2 linked regions of the Schizosaccharomyces pombe genome follow. Changing the gene in region 2 together with the main gene of any one other region gives a genetic interaction. Each region holds a gene or a part of one and is shown on either strand. Other genes may lie near its edges.

Region 1 (3,751 bases), on a different chromosome or scaffold from region 2:
AAAAATTTGATGAACTTGGAGCTATTAAGTTAATACTTTTCTCTTGGAAAATGAGATATCGTCTGTTTTGGGAATACCTTGTTTACTATTTTCATTGTATCATCTGTTAAGCTTGACAACGGCCAAAAAGAGTTGTATCTACGAATGCATACTTTTGCCCATAAAAAAATAAACATTTACGTATTGGAATGAAAAAAATCATTGCAGGTCTCAGTAAACATCTCATGAATGTGTTTTCTTCGTGGGAAGGTACATCCTTAATATATCCCAATGATTCTAAATTTCCAGCAATCGTTATCAATTTTATTTTTTACAGACAAACGAATAATTTATTTAGCTGTTGACGGATGCTATAATTCTATGTCGTTAAAGACTGTATACACTTTACAGTTTGAAAAGTTTGCTTGACATTTACCGGTGCTTCTACAAGGTCTAAAGTAAGAAAGATAAACCAAAACTATTGTCATTACAACAGTTAACAGTAGCCAAAGACAGCTATAATCCCAACAAACATATAAAAATTCCTTAAATTAGGGGATTTTCTCAAGTAACGATTTTAAAAACCAGATAACAATCCTACTGAGTCAAAGAAGCAACCATATCCTTATAACGAAAACATCAGAAATTACTCAAATGATTAACAATATCAATAAACTAATCTATCAATTATTTTCGATGAACATTACTTCTTCTTATCCTTGATTAACAGCTATGTATGCTATTTTATGATATCTTCTCTTGAAAACCCCAAAAAAACAGTCACATTAAGAAGAATATAAAGGGCACTGTGCTTTCTGCTTTTGCATAGTTCTTTCACCTGGAGTGTGCTCATCTAAATAGTAAATAGGTAAGTTTCATCATTTCACAAATGGAGATTTCAGAGGATGCGAAATATATACCCAAATTGTATAGCAAGGATAACGGGGTAATCGTTTTGGTTGCCTTCTTGCAGTGATAAAGCATTTTGTCATAGTTACACTGATGAAATTCTTCATTTGCTTAAAACTTTTTGGTCTTAAGTTTGAAAATTCTTTACTAATTTTGAAATAGATAAAAGAAGCCGTTTTTAACAGTTAGACACCATCCTATTCTTGAGATGGTTTTTTTATTCGATCCACGAGTTTTTGATAATTACCGATACTATAAATTTAATAAGAAATTAAAAATTTACTTTATTAAGTCAAAACTTGTTTACATTTAGTAGTAATTTAATTACAATTGAAAGAGTAATGTTGGTAGTGATATATATCTATGCAGACTTGTATGTAATGTAGACATTCTTTAAATCAGAGAACCGTAAAGTTCGGTTGTCCTCCTTAACTTTAGATAATGCAACCGTACATATTTTGCAGGGCTTGACTTTAGCGAACTGCATAGTCCAGTTGTTCATGGTTTGGTTAAAACAATACAACGTAGCATACTGTGGAAGTAAATCGCTCATTTTTGCTATGGTTTTTTTACTGTTAAATGCTTTGGTAATGAAGTAAATAAACTTAGACAGAAACACAAGATGACTGTTTGATCGGCTGAAAATACATACGGCAATTCTTTTGAAAATCGGATTGTATTTGTACTATACAGTATCGTATTTACTGCGACTTTCCTATGCACTAATTAATATACCACACTGACGGTACGAAGCGAATGCCTGTAATCGTGACGTTGTTCACTACCACCGATAGAATAAATGCAAACTTATCTTTAGCAAACAACTCCCATATTCTAAGACAAATAGTTCGTTCAAAAGAAAAATTATTGAACACTCAGATAATTTAATTAAGCAGTACCAAAATGTCTTTTCAAGTTCGTGTTAAGCAGAATATGCAAGATTTGGATAACAGGGTATGTTAGCAATAAGGCAGGATATCCGATGGAAGCCGCTTTACGCACTCGGCAATATAGGCTATTATTAGTATCTTGTGATTTTAGAAATTATTCTTTCTATTCAAATTTGTTTACTAACTTTTTTTTCCAGTTGGCAGCCTTTCCTCAACTCAACAGTTTGGAAAAAAATTTTGGTGTTAGCAAGCTTTATGTTTTTCTTACTGCAGCTGGTATATATGCCTTGTTCCTTTTCTTGAACTGGGGTGGATTTTTACTGACCAACCTTCTGGCATTCGCGATGCCTGCCTTCTTTAGTATCAATGCTATTGAAACTACTAACAAGGCCGATGACACTCAATGGTTGACCTATTATTTGGTAACTTCATTCCTCAACGTTATTGAGTACTGGTCTCAGCTAATCCTTTACTATGTCCGTAAGTGTTTAAATTTTTTGTATTTAGAGGCGTGATTATAAGATCATTAAGGATCTAATAAATTTTGCTCTCTGCTTTTAAATTTATTTTTTTTATTTACTAACTGGGGATTTTCCTTTTTAGCTGTGTATTGGTTACTCAAGGCTATTTTCTTGATTTGGCTTGCTTTGCCTAAATTCAACGGTGCTACCATTATCTACAGACACTTGATCCGTCCCTATATCACTCCTCATGTGATCCGTATTTGCAAAAGCGTTTCTCGTCAAAATGCCGCTCCTGCGCCCACAGCCTCTTCTTTTGCACATACTACCGCTACTGACATTCCACCCTCTATCTAGAGATTTCTGAACAAAATGTTTGGAATGGACTTGTATTCCATAGAATAGTTATGCTATACTACTCGATGAATGATTGAAAATCATACAACGGTAACGTTGTTTTCTTGTTTTTTCCCATCACAATTGACTATATTTTGGACAATTGCAAATAATTCAGTGTTTCAGAAGCTTTGCCTTTCTGAATCTCTTTCCTCTAGTTCTGATTATTTTTATTGACTGTCAAAAATTTAAAAAAATTTGGCCTTTTATATGCCGCTTTCGGCATGGACCTCGGCAATGTTGAAGGGTTTATACTATATGTATATCGCGTAGTCTTTTTGAGCAGTACAAAATTATAAGGCTGCATGCTTTACCACAGTACCGAAATTGCAATAGACATTTATTTTATGGCAACTATAGTAACTTACACACACATCCCAAAAGCAATAACCAGACTACAGTATACTTACAATGATATACCCATATTCGAAATTGCTGAAAAAAATTCTGAAGATTAATAACAAAGTACTATCTCAAAGTAACTGCCGCTTTGTAGAATTGTAATATAAAAATATCGCAATCAATTTATATTTTGTACAAATACATACAATACGTCTTTCAATAAACAGTTAACCCATTATAGCGTCGTTAAACACAATAATGAACTCTACCACTTTACATTGTGCATTTAAGAAACTTCGTTAAACCACATCAGTTTCTCGCTTATACTCGAAGTTTCTAGCATTACATCATGCCATGGTATATGGTCCGTCCCAGCGGGTACAAAAACATCTACTGTCTTCACACATTTTGTTTCGTTTCCAAACGATATTTAGAGTGTATTGCAACGTTTACATTCCATTAATATTTGGTCGAAAGAATAGTATTTCTTATTGACTTTACATACACTACTTTGGTACTATTTTTCTTGAAAATTCAGGAACATTGTACAATTTGAATTGTAAGGTTTTCTTACGAAATATATATAAAGGAGTTATAACACAAGAAAAGTGGAAAAATAAAACTTTCATTTCGTTTATTCGAGAACAAATAAACCGAAAAAGCTTCGCTTTTGTTTGATTTTTCGTTTCTATTTATTTCTCTTCATTTTTCTCGTTTTTTTGATTCCACCATAACGATTTATATTGTGTTTGTGTTTGATAAAGCATCTACACT
Region 2 (3,758 bases):
CTTTCCATATTTGACCCATTTGACTAGCTAAGCATTCTTGCTGTGTCTAATTTTACTTTTTGCTCTTTTCGTTTCCCCTTTTTCCTCCTTCGTAATCCTTCTTTTTCGTACTGCACTCCCTTGCCTTATACATGTACCGATGCCATACTCCCATCTCATCCCATCCGATAAGCGGCAGTCGCGACCAGCTCATGCTGGTGATGGTAACGAGATTTGTCCAACAATTCATTAAACATCATACTGTGGAACAAGACCGTACAGCAGAGTGCAGTAAAGGATTTGCTAAAGGAGAGAAGAACCCGACCGTTTCAGTAGAGTAGAGTAGAGAGGAAAGAGGAAAGGATGATACATCATTACTTTGAATACGATACAACACAATTCTTTCAGTACAATGTAATTCACTTCTATGCAATGCAGTCCACTTCTATGCAATTCAGTCCAGCGCAATGCAATTCCATACATTTCATTTCAATTCATAATTTCATATACTAGCATACGATGAGATGTCCAATTTATTAAATACGTTTTCTCTTTCTCCCTCCCTTTTCACGAAAAGGCAAGAAAAGCCTTCTTGTTCATCATACGGTATGCTTGCAATTTTTAAGTGGGTGTAAATAAACAGACACACAACGCATAATGAGATGATGAAGAATTTCAATACAAACTGATTTGTACAAAAAAAATTAAATTATAAAAAGAAAATCTATTCAATTCAATTCAATTCGTGAAAAAATAAAAAAAATAAAAAATTCGAAATAAAATTACATTAAATTAATTAACGTAAACTGAAATAAATCAATTACTAAATGTAGAAAAGGTATGGTCTTATTTATTTCATCATATATATATATATATTTTTTTTTGAAATACATTTGCTTTGATTCTTAAGAAATAAATTTTTTGTCAAAAAAATTTCCAAAAAAAAAAAAAAAAAAAAAAAAGGCTTCAGAAGTTTGAATGAATTTTGTTTCTTCAAAGTTTTAATTGATTTCAATTCCTCAAATATTAAATAATTTTTTAAACAACAAATTTCTTCGTGTTTTACTCACTTGTGGATGATTCATCATTTCTCACCGTTACTATTCCTTTCCTTTTTCAATCTTTAATCCTTTCTTTATTCAGTTGTATCCTTTTCCTTTTCATCACTCTTATCCCTTTCTCCTTTACATTTTACAATCAAACTCCATACTTCGCTCTCCTTTCAACAAACTATCCTACACGAATTTATTTATCTATTTCTCACTTTTTTTTCGCCTCTTGTAGCCTTTCCTGCACTTAATCATTGTTTTCCCTTTATTTACTCTTTTTTCAATATCTCTAGCTTTTGCAAAAGTCATCCGTTTTCGCTCGTTCTTTCGTTTTTCATCCATTTTCATTGTTTCTCTATTCATTTCCTTCTTTTTCATACCATTTCACCCATCTTTTCATACCATTTAACCCATCTTTTCCCGCCCATCTTCTTCCTATTCTTCGTTTTTCTTTTACCATCCAAAATTCTCTTTCATTAGCCTGCTGTAAACCGATTATAAGCATGATCGCTATAGTCGCCGCTGACACAGACTTATTGAGCCAAGAACAACGTCATTCCATGATCAACGCTATGACTGCTATCTAACCACCAACCACCGACTTGACTTTTACCATATAAAAGCAAAGCTTTCCAACTAACAACTTTCTAACAGTTTCGTAAGTGAAACATATTGACTTTCCTCTCAACAACTCGTGAAGGTCTCTTTTTGTATTTACCCATTCTACTTTTATTTTTTCTTTCGATCAATATCTCCCTTAAAAGTTAACCCTTTTGGAACTTGGCTTTGGATTTAATACATATACATTTTATTTATCCTACAGCAAAATCCAAAAATCTTTTATTCACTTTTTTAAGTCTTTGTTACAAAGTATTTCGCTCTTCCGAAAAGTCGTCCTTTACTAGCTATTTTCTTTAGTCGGCACTTTTCAGAATTAGTTTTCTTTAAATTTTCTCTATTTTTTACTATATCTTAAAAAAAAAACACTTGCACCCTTTTTTAGTTTAAAAGGTTTCTCTTTTTTTTTAAGGCTTCTTTTGATTCTTAGTAACTGTTTTACCTTAAGTTGTTATTTTAAAATTGAATATAACACGCAAATCATGTCTGAACAACATTCATTAAACCCCTTTGAATCCGGTTCCGTCACTGCTTCCGATGTCGCCGCTGCTAAATCCGGTGCTGAGGACCTTGTAAATACTTTGACTGCTCACACCGTTCACCCTTCCACCGAATTGCCCTCTGCCACTTCATTTCCCTCTGCTCTCCCCAACTCTGAGAATCCCGTTATTCAAAACATCTCTTCTTCCTCTTCCGAGCCCCACCACACCTCTCAATCCACACCTGGCGAGACAAGCAGTCCCGTCTGCCCAGTTTCCGGCGCTCACGGAGGTGCCGACAAAAAATGCCCTGCTTTGGAGGCCGGTTGCCCTTTTACCAACACTACTAAGCAAAACGTCGATCCTGAGATCTCTAATGCTTTGTGGTCTGTGTTGACTTGGAAGAACACCTCTTGCAGTTTCTCTACCTTGATGAGTATTCTTGCTCTCGTTTATGTCCCTTCTTGGATCAATCTTCCTCGCCTCTTTTTCAGAACTTTCCGTTATGTCTTTTTGATTACCTCCATCATTGAATTCGGTGGTCTTTTCGCTTCCAACGGTAAGCGTGGTGTCTTGTCTCACTTCCGTTCCTCCTACATCACCTGCGACTCCAAGGCTCTTGATAGGATTGTCAACTCAATTGTCGACATTTTCAACGTTATGTTGATTCAATTCCAACGTATCTTGTTTGCTGAGAGCCCTATTTTGACCTTTACTGCCTCTGTTGCTGCTTTTATTGAGTTTTTCCTTAGTGGCTTCCTTTCCTACAAGTCTCTCTTTGTTTGGAATGTTTTGTTTGCCTTCATCCTTCCCAGATTGTATGTATGCAATGAGCGCTCTATCAAGCATTTGGTTGCTTCCCTTGAGAGATCTGGTGATAAACTTAAAAAGCAAGCTACTGAGACTATAAACACCACTGTTAACAAGTAAACCTCTGCGGGATAATTTGTTTGATTGTTTCTGTCAGGTTGCGCTTGATTTTTATTTGGTTCGCTTCCTCGTTTATTTTAAGGTTTCAATAGTATCTTTTGCAAAAAAATGCAAGGGTAATAACCATGGTTTTGTTTTCAACTTTGAAAATGTGTTGCTGTGTTGTGTTGCGTTTCAAAAGTGTTGTATTATGACTTGAATTAGGAGATTGAATGCGTTTTCTCAATTATTTTGCTTATGACTATGAGTGTTTATTTTCATAAATACGTCTTTCTCATCTCGATATATTGTAAATGTAACAGGTTCGGCTCAATCTCTCATTTCTCTTCTGAGTTGCAAACTATTGCAGTGTGGTTGAAGTTCTTGTTGCTTTGCTCAATATGATGCTATTTTATTATATTTTCTCTGCTTCGTTTAATACCCAACGTACTTATTATTCGTAATTTAATCTCGTAATTACTCCGTGTTGTTTTGTAGGTCCTCCTCGTATTCCTTATTGCTGCTCTTTTCGAAAAAAAAAATATATATATATATTTTCCATAACTAAAATGGGTCTGTGGACGAAAAAATCTATTTTGTTTAACCAAATGACTAAAGTATTTGTTAACCAAAAATTATTATTTTTTTTCCACTACTTCGTATTTAATACAGCCGATCATACAGTAAAGTGCTGATTACACTCGCATGATCGTTGTCTGCTCTC

What was found.
Region 1: of rtn1 (region 2) and yop1, changing one enhances a phenotype caused by changing the other (phenotypic enhancement), as found in Schizosaccharomyces pombe (one study listed by BioGRID).

The regions. Positions count from the first base shown.
Region 1 is NC_003421.2:2,195,153-2,198,903, reverse strand, and holds yop1 (ER membrane protein DP1/Yop1), read left to right. Parts: upstream 1-1,703; 5' UTR 1,704-1,791; coding exon 1,792-1,842; intron 1,843-1,975; coding exon 1,976-2,258; intron 2,259-2,381; coding exon 2,382-2,596; 3' UTR 2,597-3,111; downstream 3,112-3,751. UniProt on the Schizosaccharomyces pombe protein: Required to generate and maintain the structure of the tubular endoplasmic reticulum network and the vacuole. Induces high curvature in membranes and causes membrane tubule formation. Involved in membrane/vesicle trafficking.
Region 2 is NC_003423.3:1,261,975-1,265,732, reverse strand, and holds rtn1 (reticulon Rtn1), read left to right. Parts: upstream 1-2,128; coding exon 2,129-3,055; 3' UTR 3,056-3,435; downstream 3,436-3,758. UniProt on the Schizosaccharomyces pombe protein: Required for the correct positioning of the cellular division plane by delimiting the actomyosin ring assembly at the cell equator. Overexpression causes cell lysis.